Mytilus edulis: one gene and its partner. The protein of the gene in region 1 interacts with the protein of each later gene in a pairwise test. Links are inferred from orthologs where the notes say so. Each region holds a gene or a part of one and is shown in the gene's direction. Other genes may lie near its edges.

What was found.
Region 2: the proteins of regulator of microtubule dynamics protein 1-like (region 1) and exodeoxyribonuclease-like interact in a two-hybrid assay, tested with the Caenorhabditis elegans proteins (2 studies listed by BioGRID). The link is inferred for Mytilus edulis from reciprocal best matches to the Caenorhabditis elegans genes F33H2.6 and exo-3.

The regions. Positions count from the first base shown.
Region 1 is NC_092355.1:30,360,809-30,366,869, forward strand, and holds regulator of microtubule dynamics protein 1-like, read left to right. Parts: upstream 1-4,426; 5' UTR 4,427-4,428; coding exon 4,429-5,349; 3' UTR 5,350-5,532; downstream 5,533-6,061. Other genes in the region: elongation factor 1-delta-like, read right to left, coding at 701-796.
Region 2 is NC_092353.1:832,576-839,928, reverse strand, and holds the start of exodeoxyribonuclease-like, read left to right. Parts: upstream 1-4,345; 5' UTR 4,346-4,403; coding exon 4,404-4,493; intron 4,494-7,046; coding exon 7,047-7,283; intron 7,284-7,353. Other genes in the region: ankyrin repeat and SOCS box protein 8-like, read right to left, coding at 2,715-3,719.

The DNA.
Region 1 (6,061 bases):
ATAACTATGAATCTATAAAAAAATATTTGTGAAATATCAACAGAAGTTGTTCTGTTTTTTGCCAAATTCCAATAAAACATGCTTTCATCTAGGCCTACTTCGAATCGTCCAACTCGGGTTGACTTGAGTTAAAAGATCAGTGCTAATAAATGTGCATGTGGGCAACCAAAACTCTTCCATTGCCAGTTGAGAAAACTCTACTAACCCTGAGTAGGACAAATCGATGTAGGCCTTAAGAGCAAGCACATGAACATGTATCCGTTTACAGTTTATATCATTTCTATGGATATCTTGAAAAATTCAACATGTACAAATACAAATGAATACTGGTATCAGAATCCTATAGCTAGTAAAAGCTGAAATAGTAAGGTTAATACACATCATACATTGTGTTAATCCTGCCCAAAGATCTAAGGCCAAAAATAATAATACATGTTTCCGCTAACCCTAACTACCTGACTACCTTAATTTTTAGTGCCTACCCAACTCTTTTTATGCCAATTTGGACTAAGCATCTTTAAAGTCACAATACTTCCCTAATAGCAACCAGCTAAAAATTGTTTGTTAAAAGATTGATATTGCCTACTTTAATTTTTTTCAGGACGTTTACGGAAACACATATTAATTTTTTTGGCCTAAACAAATTTGTTACTCCTGCCCAAAGATCTAAATTAGTGTACATAGTTTTATGCAGACTTACAGATGTACCAGCAATTGTACATTGATAAACAGCTTCTGCATTTTCAAATTTCTGTTGGTCTCTCCATGTAGAATCTAACAATAGTGGTTGTGCCATCCTGAAAAAAAGAACCACTAGATTATAAACATATAATCTTATTTTACAAATTCAATGTATAACAAATTTGACAATACTCATTTGAATTGTTTAACATGTCATTTCTGGGCCTTTTAAAGTTGACTATATGGTATGGGTTTTGCTCATTGTTGAAGGCAGTACAGTGACATATAGATGTTTAATATCGGTGTAATTTGGTCTCTTGTGGAGAGTTGTCTAATTGGCAATCATATCACATTTCCTTTTTTTAACTTAAAGGGCTTGATACATTGTAAGGCCAAAATAAAAAGATTGTATGTTTGCCCAAACGCGACCGACCCAAAATAAACCCGCCGACTCAAATTCTTTTTTTGACGTTTTTTTGGAAGAATTTTTTTTTTCCGGATTTATTTTGGGTCAGCTCCGTCATCGTACAAAACTTAATGTTTGTCGTCTTTGCGTTTGAAAGTAATTGTGAATAAGATTAAAAGAAAGCGTATAAGAGACGCAGTTAATCGATATTCGATGTTCTCTGTTTTTATCTTCTGATTTAACGAACGTAAAGAAGTATAACAAGTGAAGTGGCACAGTTTTTTTATGCTGTAGTTGTTTGTACTACCAAACCCTTACCTATATGCTCAACATTAATTTCATCGTGTTATTGAATATCTGATAAGAATATTTGGGTAGATTTGTTCAAAACCATGTGCAATCGAATATTTTTAATGTTATTCTGACAGGAAATGGATCTGGAAGTTGCGAATTTATAATCTTGCAAGAAGATTTTGTTTTTACTGAATAAAAAGGAATTATTTCTTGATAAATTGTTGTCTTTAATTATAATCTTCCTTTATCATGTAAATTAGATGCCCTTTTATTCGAATAGTTCAAATTTACAAGTCTCATTAGACAGTCAGTACGTTGCTGTTTGGGAGAATTAGATAAAACTATAATTGCTCACAGAATCAGAAATATAATCTTAACTGAATGTCACTCCTTCTGAATAATTTATTGCAATATAAATATAAATCCCTTTTGACAAGAGAAATCTGACTTTTGTCAGAAATATTTTTTCACATGTGCAAAAGTAAAAACATGTTATGGACGCCATATTGGATTTTTATACAATTTGTGAGGAAGCCCCTAGAACCATGTCAGACCTAAAAATAAAGTCTTCAGAAAACGTTAACTTTATGCAATTTCATTTAATCAATAATGATTATTTTCAAAAATTTAAACTTGATTATTTAAAGAAATAAAATTATAACAAATACGTTTTTAGTTTGGAGATTCTACAGAACATGCTTTGATCTATTTATAGCCAAATTAGTTTACCTGTGTGATAATGTAAAATATAAATTTGTTTTCAAAACATAAAAAAGACACAAACTAAGGATGGTAGATAAAAATTCATATAAATATTTTAGGACATTTAATCTATTTTAATAGAATAGGATTTAAAAACTGCAAACAAATTTAATCATTACATAATCAGCTGATATTTTTTTTACACAAACATCGTGTTGATCATGTTGATGGAACTGTTGAAAATCACTTCACAAATCCAACAGCCCTTTCACACAGTTAGCAATTGTCAGGGTTATAAACATCTCAGGATACAAATCATATAGTAGACTAATTTATTTATAGAGGTTTTAAATTCATGGCTTTTGGTTGTCTCTACAAAGGTTTGACAGAGAAAAAAAAAGATATACTGTTTTAAGATCTTTTAATATTTTCATGCAAATTTGGAAAAAAAAAAGAAAAAAAAATTTGCCTACCTACCTACCCACACCCAGTCATCATGGGTCGGGTTTGGGCAAACTGAAATATTTTTAATTGTGGCCTAACTTGATAAATGTTAATGACTGTTGTTGTTTGTTGGTGTGGTTCACAATTGTTTCTTGTTTTTTTTACATAGATTAGACCTTTAATTTTAAGTTTTTAAATTGTTTTACATGTAGTTATTGTAGGGCTCTTTAAAGATTGCTGTTCCGTGTGAGCCAAGGCTCTGTGGTGAAGGCCTGATACTTTGAATTGTAATTTTTTTACTTTTTATACATGTACATTGGAATTGGAATGGAATACTACATCTTATTTATATGTGCAAAAAAAGATAGGTGTTCTAGTATTCATTTGCTAACAATATTCATTAAAAGTAATTGTTTTCGCTATGGAGGGGGATGGGGCTGTCAGAGGGGACCTGATAAGTGGCAGATCCAGAAATTTCATAAGTGGGGGCCCACTGACTGCCTAAGAGGGGGCCCGCTCCAGTGCTTCCCTATATAAGCAGCCAAATTTTTCCACCCTTGGCCCCCCCTAAATCCGCCTCTGTTGGTCCCGAAATCTCTGGCTTCAAACATGAAATCCTGAGGTCCAAAATTTAAAGAAATTTAAATCCCAGCATTCCAAAATTGGAAACAAGAATTCCAGGATCTCGAAAGGGTCTATCCTGAACACCCGATCCTGACATCTCCAAAAAGGTCTTCCCCCACCTCTACAAAACAGCAGGTCTTTTTTTAGCGCAATTGGTTAACAAAGCAGACATTCTCATAAAAAAATCTTTAAAAAATGAATGAACTTGTTGTTGAACATTACCAGTTTTTCAGAATCTTTTATCAAATTAAAATTTGTTTCAAAATCTGAGTGGACATCATAAGATGTCAACAGCTTGGAGGTGGGATTGACAAATCTGCCTGAGGCTGAGGCAGGTTAGTCCACTAGAGGCATGTATCTCATTAATTATCCCCCCTTTTTCATTAAAGTGGTTGACAATCTTAAAAACCACACCGAAATATCTTTTGACAAAGTTGATTGTATACAGTAGTTGATGATTTATCTGTGTTTGATTTTAATATAACTTTCTACGTGAGATTTCGTACTTTTTGATATATTTTTTTCTGAAGCCGGCTTTGTTCCACGATGTATAGGGAATAAAAGAAAGATTTTAGGACTCAAGATATAATTTACATAAAAGTACGGGCAGATTGAGAATAAAATCCGGGAACATAATGCACTGTACACTCTGGTAGAAATCAAATCTGTCATGACACATTAGAGGATAAATCTTTGTAAATAAAACGAACAAAACCATATTTTCTAGTCAACCATATTTCCTACTATTTATTGATTACTGATTCTTGTTTTCCGGAAAATAAATGAACCGAACTTGTTTCAGAGATTACTCACTGATTACACTGACAACATATTCAGGTGGCACGGTAGTATTTCCCTGCCATAGGCGACAATGTTAACATTTTTCAGATTTTCATGACTTTCTAACACTCCCCAAGACCTAAAACCTACTGTAACTTGAAGTACTTTCATTCAGATATTCAAAAATAAATGAGAAACACCATCATGACCGTTTACTTTTTTAGCTATTGTCACCAGTCTAAGGGAACCAGTCATTTACATCATATTTGGCCGCAGTAAATGCAATATTCTAAAAAAATTCTAAAAGATTTATTTCAATAGTTACATTTGAAAATTGCTATTTTTCAGACTCATAATTGGTTAAAATACTTGAAAAAAATGTTTCTGGTTGATAATCCATTTTAATGTCCAATCACAGTGTCATAAGTATTCACCTAAGTAGGGTACACAAAGGAGCAACCTAAAACGTTGGAAGCAAATACTACCGTGCCACCTTCATGATGCAAAGTTCATTGAAATTTTTTACAAAATTTAGACAGTCATGTGGCGTGGCATACAGATTCTTGAGGTCCCAGAGAAAGGAATCATATAAACAGTTCAAGAAAATCCAATATCCATTGTTTCCTGTACTGGCATTTCAACCTTTTGCAACAGTCCATGCTCTAAGTTTTGGGTTTGGAAAGAAAGAAGAGGTCAAAGAATTGACCAAAGAAGAATTAGTTGTTATAGAAGCTGATAAAATATATACAGCTAATGAGATACTTAAACTGTATGATTTCCTAATTCAGTACAAGGATTGTCAGAATGATGAAATTTTGTGGAGACTGGCAAGGGCTGCGAGCGACAAAGGAAAACTAGTTCAAAATACCAATGAAAAGAAAGCCTGCTTTTTTGAAGCCTTTGAATATGTCAAGAAAGCTCTAGAATTAAATGACAATAATTTTGCCTCTCACAAATGGTATGCCATACTACTTGATTACACAGCAGAATATGAAGGCACGAAAAAAAGAATTTCAAATGCCTTTCATGTGAAGGAACATTTAAAGAGAGCCAATGAATTAAACCCAAAAGATGCAACATCATTGTACTCACTTGGGTATTGGTGTTTTCTATTTGCAGACATGCCTTGGTACATGAGACAAATAGCTTCAGCACTGTTTGCTTCACCACCAACTTCAACTTATGAAGAGGCGCTGGCTTATTTTGAAAAAGCTGAAGAAGCAGATCCTAATTTTTACAGTATGAACTTATTGATGTTAGGGAAAACTTACCTCAGATTGAAGAACCATAATATGGCGCTGAAATATTTAACTAGAGCGAAAGATCAACCTTTAAATAAACCTGATGATGAAAAGGCTCACAAAGAAGCTCTGGAATTATTAAAAAGCATGGGTGTGAAATTAAAAGACCAGCAATAAGAATAACTTGATTATAAGGCTGTTCATTAATACAATTTTTTTCTTGAATACTCAGGTGTTTATTGGTGCAATTGTTCAAATCAATAACTATATATGTACTTTTTCAAAATACATGTAGTATAATATTTTACAAATTACCAAATTAGAATGTATGTACATACAATAAACAGTTATTTATTTGTGGCTTTATCAGTCTTACTTTTCCAAGTAAAATACTAAATGGCCCGGACATGATGTCAAACTAGTTCACCTCCATAAAAAAATAGGGGTGAAGTTTTATCCACTGTAACAATGTTATGTACATGTATATCCACCACAAATCTTGTATAGCTGGTAATGTTTCATATTCCGGACTTTTGTACACTTCCTAATTGATATTGAACATGATGAAAGCATCTAATTTTTTGGATTTTTAGAAAGTTTCTGTATCTTACTAAATGATTTGATAATTACAATAATTATAAATCATAAATGGAATGGTAATACTATAAGTACATGTGTTAAAATAGAGGATGGAATTACAGGAAATGGGAAATATGACAAAAGAGACAAAAACCTGACCAAAAGTTAACATCTCATTTCTATTGATAATTGTCAGCAGCTTAAATACTGTAAGTTCAGAAATTATTGTGTGCATTTATTTTTGCAATTTGTAAAAGATGGACAAAACTGGGAAGTTAATTGTTGAGATTTTAGGAATGCTGCATAAAGA
Region 2 (7,353 bases), on another chromosome or scaffold:
ATTCTTATAAAGGAGATTGTAAGGGATTTCAATATTCAACATGTTCCTCATCTAAATTTTATACTTCTATTGAAATATATTAAGACAGTTATCTCATAAATGCAAATTGCCATTTGAATTTACTTTTGTGGAATTCTTCAGAGGTTTTGTTGTTCAGCTTTTAGGGGTTATTGTGGCCAAGTGGACTCAGTACATGTAGTTCATCTTTTTTTCAAACTTGCACATGCTACTTGAACATAATTTTAACATTATAAACATTGTTTCATTTTCACATGTATTTAAAGATCTTTTGTTACCTTTTTTTTTTAAATTAATTTGTCAAGTTGAAAACATGACATTGATGATCAAAAATTTCAATCACAAAAGTATTTAGATACCTCAAGTTGGGCATTTGTTTCTAAACTGATTTCAAAAAGATCAGACGAAAAATGTGTTAATAAAAGTGACAAAAATACTGTAAATTTAAAACTACTGTCTGCATTTAATATTGAGAATTCCATGTTTCTCCCCATGAATGTGTATGAGTGATATACATATTGAAATTGAAGTGTTCTGTTTTAGTGTATACTGGCTATGATTGTTTTTATTTAGTTGCTCACAGAGTTAACATTCCACAATGTATAACTATAATGTACTGCTTTGGAGAAGCAGAATAAAATTGGAAAATATTTGTGTGTTGTTTTATTTTGATTTTATGTCATATGTGCTTTATGTTACCTGATTGTTCTTGATGATAGGCTTGGCTGCACAAAGGGTAAATCTTGTGGATGATGAAACATGTGTCTAATTTTTGAAATAAACTCCTATTTGATTTCTTCCTAAAGCCTTCAAACTTTAACAATGGTTGTGTATACATTGAAAATGTGCACCATTTAGTGTAGCACCCAGTTCCTACATTTTTCTCAGATTATGATCCTTTGACAATTATCAGCAGACATTCAGACATACTGTATAGCGGGTTATTTTAGCGGGTGTAAAATTTCGCGATTTTCATTGAAAAAAGTATACAAAATATTTTGTCTGTTATTATTTTGGCAGATTCAGAACTTTTATCAATACCTTTGCATCTACACTTTAAATTGGCAGAATTTATTTTGTCGATTTTGTTCTATCCCTGAAAATAAGCGAAAATTTACACCCCGCCAAAATAACCTGAGTTCCCCTTAAGACATTCACATAATAGAATAACATGTGGTACAGACAGCCAGACTTGTTACAAGCACATTTTATGTTCACACTTTATCTTCCTAGACCATATGTCTTAAAGAACAATCCAATAAAGAAAAAACAACCTGCAGTAAAGCTACAAACTGGATGGCCACTAGCTTGATGAAGGAAATAAAACATAATTTGGGAACAAGTGGAGCTCACATTCCATAGTATTAGTATCATAGCTTTAGTAGTCATTCACAAGACAAGTTAACATATAGACTGATGGGGTGGGGCTCTGAACACGGACAGACTTATGGACCACTAAGATCATAAAGATTGGCTAGGTTTGGACACAGACCACTTTAAACAACATTACAAATAACATGTATAAATTGTTTTATATTGAAACATAAACATGATAAACAATATGTTATAAAATTTCCTGATAAATAAATTATCGTTGTTTTATACTGAACATGGTGGAAAACAAACCCACTTTTTATGTAATCAATTGATATTTATGATAAGACATTAAGATACGAAGTACTCTTCAGTGTTGGTTATACTAAACTTCTGACACATCAATCTAGCAATACATACAAAAATCAATATAGGTTTGAAGAAGGCTTATCTTTTTAATTAAGACACAGATTTAATTATATAAGTATTCTCTGTGGAAGTGTTTTATAACTAAGATAATTAATTATTTATTAATTTATGTCATAATCAATACACAATTCCCAATTTATAGCATGTTTCAAGTATGTGTGGTCATGGGAAAAAGTATTTTGGATAAATAATCGAAAGATAACCAATAGCAATAAGATAATAGTTAAGCAATGATCAATTGAATAAGAATGTGGTAAAAAAAAACAGAAATTAAAAGTTTTGTTTATTCTCAGTGAATTTCTGAACAAAAGAAATCATGAATTTTAGATGTTTTTATCACCATACAAGTGTGAAGACCACTGTGATTTGTGGTTATATCTTTTAAACTCATGACAGACTACAATATTTTGAAGAGATATTTAATACTGTTGTATCATCATCATTTTCACCTCCTTCTCTCAACATAATTATAAAATCAGATAAAACATACTTTATAACTTATCAAAAGCTGCAGTAGATTTGATAAAAACATTGCAATTACTTTGAGGGCAAGAAATAATTTTTTTTTTAACTATGAACATGATGAATTCAAATTTATCAGCACAAAATGTAATTGTGAATGTTTAGTGAACCTTTAAATTCTATGTAATGTGGCAAAAATCCAAAATAAATAAGTTATATATACACTGATATTCTTCAGTTAACATGACATGTATTTTATTAACTAATTGTTGATACAAAAAAATAGTTTAAATAAATTAATTATTTTTATTTAGATTTTTAAAAGCCATAATGAAAACAAAGGTACAAAACTGCAATTGGTTAATTGAGTCCTTGTGTTCAGTTGAAAAATTGCTTTTTTTGTCATCATCAAAAGACTTTTTTTCATTATACTCTTGATCCATCATAATCCAAAACATAGGCATGATAGGTGTATTAACAATTTACACAAATTACAAATGTCCTAATAAGATATACTCCTTTATGAGTTTTGGTAATGGTAATTGTTCCACTTTTTTCATTAAATGAATGTTTTGTGATGAATGAATCAATGAATTCCTGATAACAAGACAAGAAAGAGTTCTCAAAGTTTGAGGAGATTCTGCACAATACTTAATCAGTACCATCAGCTCAGGGTGGAGAATGAGATTTTGGAATTTTTCACTTTGGCATCTTTTAATTAAAGTTATGTCCACTGATGCACCTGCTTCTAACAGCATTTCTGGAATTTCTTTACAAGTGCTAAATTGGAGGGCTGTAGAAAGTGGGGTATGACCGTTTAATCCAGTATGATTTGGATTGGCTCCATTCAACAGTAGCAAGCGGGTAGTCTGTACACAGTTTGCACGACATGTCAGAATAAGAGGTGTCCAGCCTCTGATTTGCACAACATCAACCTTTGCACCTCTACGTACCAGCTGGGAAGCTATTTTACTGTTGGCATGCATGGCAGCCATGTGAAGGGGCCTAAGATTAGCTGTATCTTTTATATTAACATCACATTTATCACTGATCAGAATCGCTTTCACCATTTCATAGTTATCCATATCAACAGCATGTAACAATGGAGACCATCCACGGTCATCAACAATGTTCACATCAAATCCACCTTGAACAAGAAGTTTAACCATTGGGACATCTTCTTTAACAATGCACTTGAACATAATTGTTAATTTTAGTCGCTCTCTCTTTTTATATGGTTTTAAAATGTATGTATAGTTGAAAACATCCACTATATATTTTAGATTCGTGTTACATCCATTTTGTACTAAAGCTTGCACAATATTAATTTGATCATTTTCTATTGCAGTTTCCACCATTGTTTTTCCAACTCTTTCTGGTCTTTCGTTGCTTCTAAAAGCATGGTTAACATCCAAGCCTTTCTTCAAATATTCACGTAGTGTTTCAGCATCACCCTGAATAATACATCGGTGTAAGTCATCTTCAAAATAATCCATTGTTTCTCAATTTTGTCACAAAAAGTAGATATTTTCTATTCCAAATTTGCTGTCAGCCTGAGTGTCCTAAGTCATCCCCAATCCGTATGTGCTCCCTGGCAATAAATCAAAGACCGGAAGAATCAGGTACATTGTGTATTGACTCTTCTTCAACATAATGAGGCAAATTAATATTTTATTTCTCCACTATAGTTATGTACTGGTATTTCTGAACAGCTGAACAGTGTTCTGTTTGGAATAAATGTATGCATAATTAATAATTTGAGATAGTACCACATTTTGCACAGTATATGAAATATTAATTCATACATATGATAAGCAAATTATCCATGACAATGAACTGAATTTGTGAAATCAGAAAAAAAAAACCTCAACTGTCAAGGGAGAAAGTCAGCTTTTAGAACGTCCATGCGTAACTTAGCAAATGTAAACTTCCGGCAGGTGCCCGTTTAATTAAAAATACGGAATCACATATAAACGAAACAATGATACGATCAAAGCTAATGCTTTATTAACAATGAAAAGACATGTTATATTACATGTCTTTCAAATGAACTATAAATTTGTTTAAGCTTAGTAGTCGGTTTCTGCAAAAAGTAAGGATGACTTTAAATACTTTACATCGTTTTTAAAGTAATTCGTTTCGGAATAAAAGTACATATGGCGGGAAATTTTCTATTGTGAATGTTGTTTGTAAATAGAAATTTGCTGATACCGGCATTTAATAGATTCATCAGTTCAGCGAAGTTAAGTACCATGCCACCAAAAAGAAAGGTAAAAATATATAAATATAATCAGCTAAAAAATGTTTTGTCAGTTTCTAAGCTCTGTGTGTGTGTGTATGTAAAACATTGTGAAATAAATATTTTATATGCAAATTGAGAAAATAAAGTATCTTCAGTGCTCAGACCCTCAGTGGGAAACGAACTCTGTAACAGGAGACAGTTTGACCTTAGTATTTGTATATGTATCAGTATCTTTCTTTTATTATCTGTGTGTTTTATTTGGTAAAGTCAGCTATAATGTTAACTCAGCCTCAGGTATTTATACATTGTAATGATGAGTTTTTTTTATCGTGTGTATAAATCAACAATACGTGTGTCTACTCTTCGAACACACCTTTACCAACAAATCTACACTCTACTTCTGATAATTGACATTGATCTCAATATCCCTTTAGTTAACTAATATTTCTTGCGAAAATATTTTAATCTAAACAACTATTGATTACTACCAAGAAGAAAAGAAAAGCTTTTAATCATTTATCTTATGTAAAACACTGAGAATCCTTACTGATTAACCAATAGAAATCAACTACACTTTTTAGGTTACCCTGGATACAATCATGTAAGCAAAATAATAACAATGAAAATGAATTGTAAATTGAAATTAGCCATCCTACATATAATTTCAAATATATAAAAACCGATTTCGCTACACGTCCATGGTTCAGCCTTAGTTGATTCAGTCTTGGTCGTCTAGTCCATGTACCACTTCAGCCATATGATAAAAGAGGATAGTAATGCCTTTGACATCAGGCGTCAAACAGTCATTTTCGGCTACCGTTAGCGTCAAATTGGTTAAAATTTTACAGTGATTTGTCAAAATATCCTTATCATTTCTGTCATTTTTTTAAAAAATAACTTGATTTGTCAAAATCAGTCAATGTTTTTTTATCGTCTGAAGGATGTAGTGTACATTTTACTGTCATACACCTAAAATTACTGTGAATGTCATTTGGCAAGAATTTTTACCGTTTTGTCATGAAGGTACCCCCATTACTACCCTTATAAAAGTTCTGGCAATATTTTCATTTTAATTTATACTTTTAAAATGAGATTGTTTTGTTTCATAATTTATAATTTAATTCATATACTTTTTATGCCTTTAAAAATAAGTTCACATTAGGAAATACGACATCTGATTTCCCCCATAATAAGAATATAAAAATTAGTCCTGCTTAGTCAGTCAGTTATTCTTGTCATGTTTGTATTACAGCTTTGAGACATGATCGAGCTGGCTTTATCAGCATCATCACAATGTCAGATGAGAAGTTTTCATTGACATTACAAATTATTGGAAACAATATGAATACGAAAGTTTCAGTTTGATCCAGTTCACACATATCAATAAAAACATAAGCTCTTGAGAGCTTTTTACCTTTCGGCCATGGTTCAGCTGCATTTAATTCGCCTTCAATTGTTGGTTTTGTCCATGTTCCTCTATCATGACTATAATGCTATGTAATAAAAGTTGTTTCAGCAATATTTTCATTTTATATTTTTTAAAAGAGAATTAGTTGTATATACTTTCATTTATTATATTTATATCAAATTGAAAATGGAAATGGGGAATGTGTCAAAGTGACAACAACCCGATCAAAGAGCAGAAAACAGTCAAGCCACCAATGGGTCTCCAATGCAGTGAGAAACATTCGCTCCTTGGCATGCTTGAGCTGGCCCCTAAACAAAAATGTATACTAGTTCAGTGATAATGGACTCCGAAATATACGCAAGAAACTAAATTTAAAAATCATACAAGACTAACAAAGGCCAGAGGTTCCTGACTTAGGACAGGCGCTAAAATGTGGTAGGGTTAAACATGTTTTTTGAGATATCCCCTTATAACTCTAGCCAATGTAGAAAAAACAAACACTCAACAATACACACAGTAAAACTCAGTTTAAAAAAGAAGAAGAGGTAGAAATATACCTTTAATAACTTTTAAAAAAACTTTATTGCACTTTTATAGTAATGATGATTTATTAGAAAAATGTTTCAAAAGGTTATGTAGATGCTGAGACTGAATATAAATCATTTATTGGATTGAAATCGCAGGTAGAGGGCACTCCTGATTTAAAACGCATACCATTTTATCACTTGAGCTCATCCAATTATCTAATTAAATATACAAACATACATATATCCTGTGGAATCAAATATCTTAGTAATATACAAATGATATAAAAATTACAAAAGTATTTAAGAAATAATTGATGCAAGCTATACTTTATTGTAGTTTTAACATGGGTAGGCATTATATTCGTGATTATTTTTGCCCGAGCGATAGTGAGTAAGTTCAGTACAGCATTGTTATATATTTTGAAGCCGAACAATAATTTAATTTAGTAGATGTGGTGTATATATTTTTGAAAATTCAATCTTCTGATAAAAAGAAAGAACATTTTAATTTTTTAAACTCTGGTGGATAGTTGTCTCACATGTCTCATTGGTAATCATACCACATCTCCTTATTTTAATATTTAATGTGCTTTATCATTAAATTTGTTTATCCAATAAAATCATTTGATTGATTATATTATTATAGAAGGCAGTCACAGATGTTGAAGCAACAACCAAAAAGACAACAGAAGCAGAAGATGAACCAACCACCAAGAAGACAAAGATAGAAAAGAAGTCCAGCACAGCAAGTACAGATCTGCCTGATGATGTAGATACTTCATTCCCAACACAGATTAATCCTGATGCTAAAACAAAGGATGGAAGGAAATTTACCAAGACTATTGTGTCGTGGAATGTTAATGGTGTCAGGGCTTGGTTAAAGGTAATTTACCAAGACTATTGTGTCCTGGAATGTTAATGGTGTCAGGGCTTGGTTAAAGGTAATTTACCAA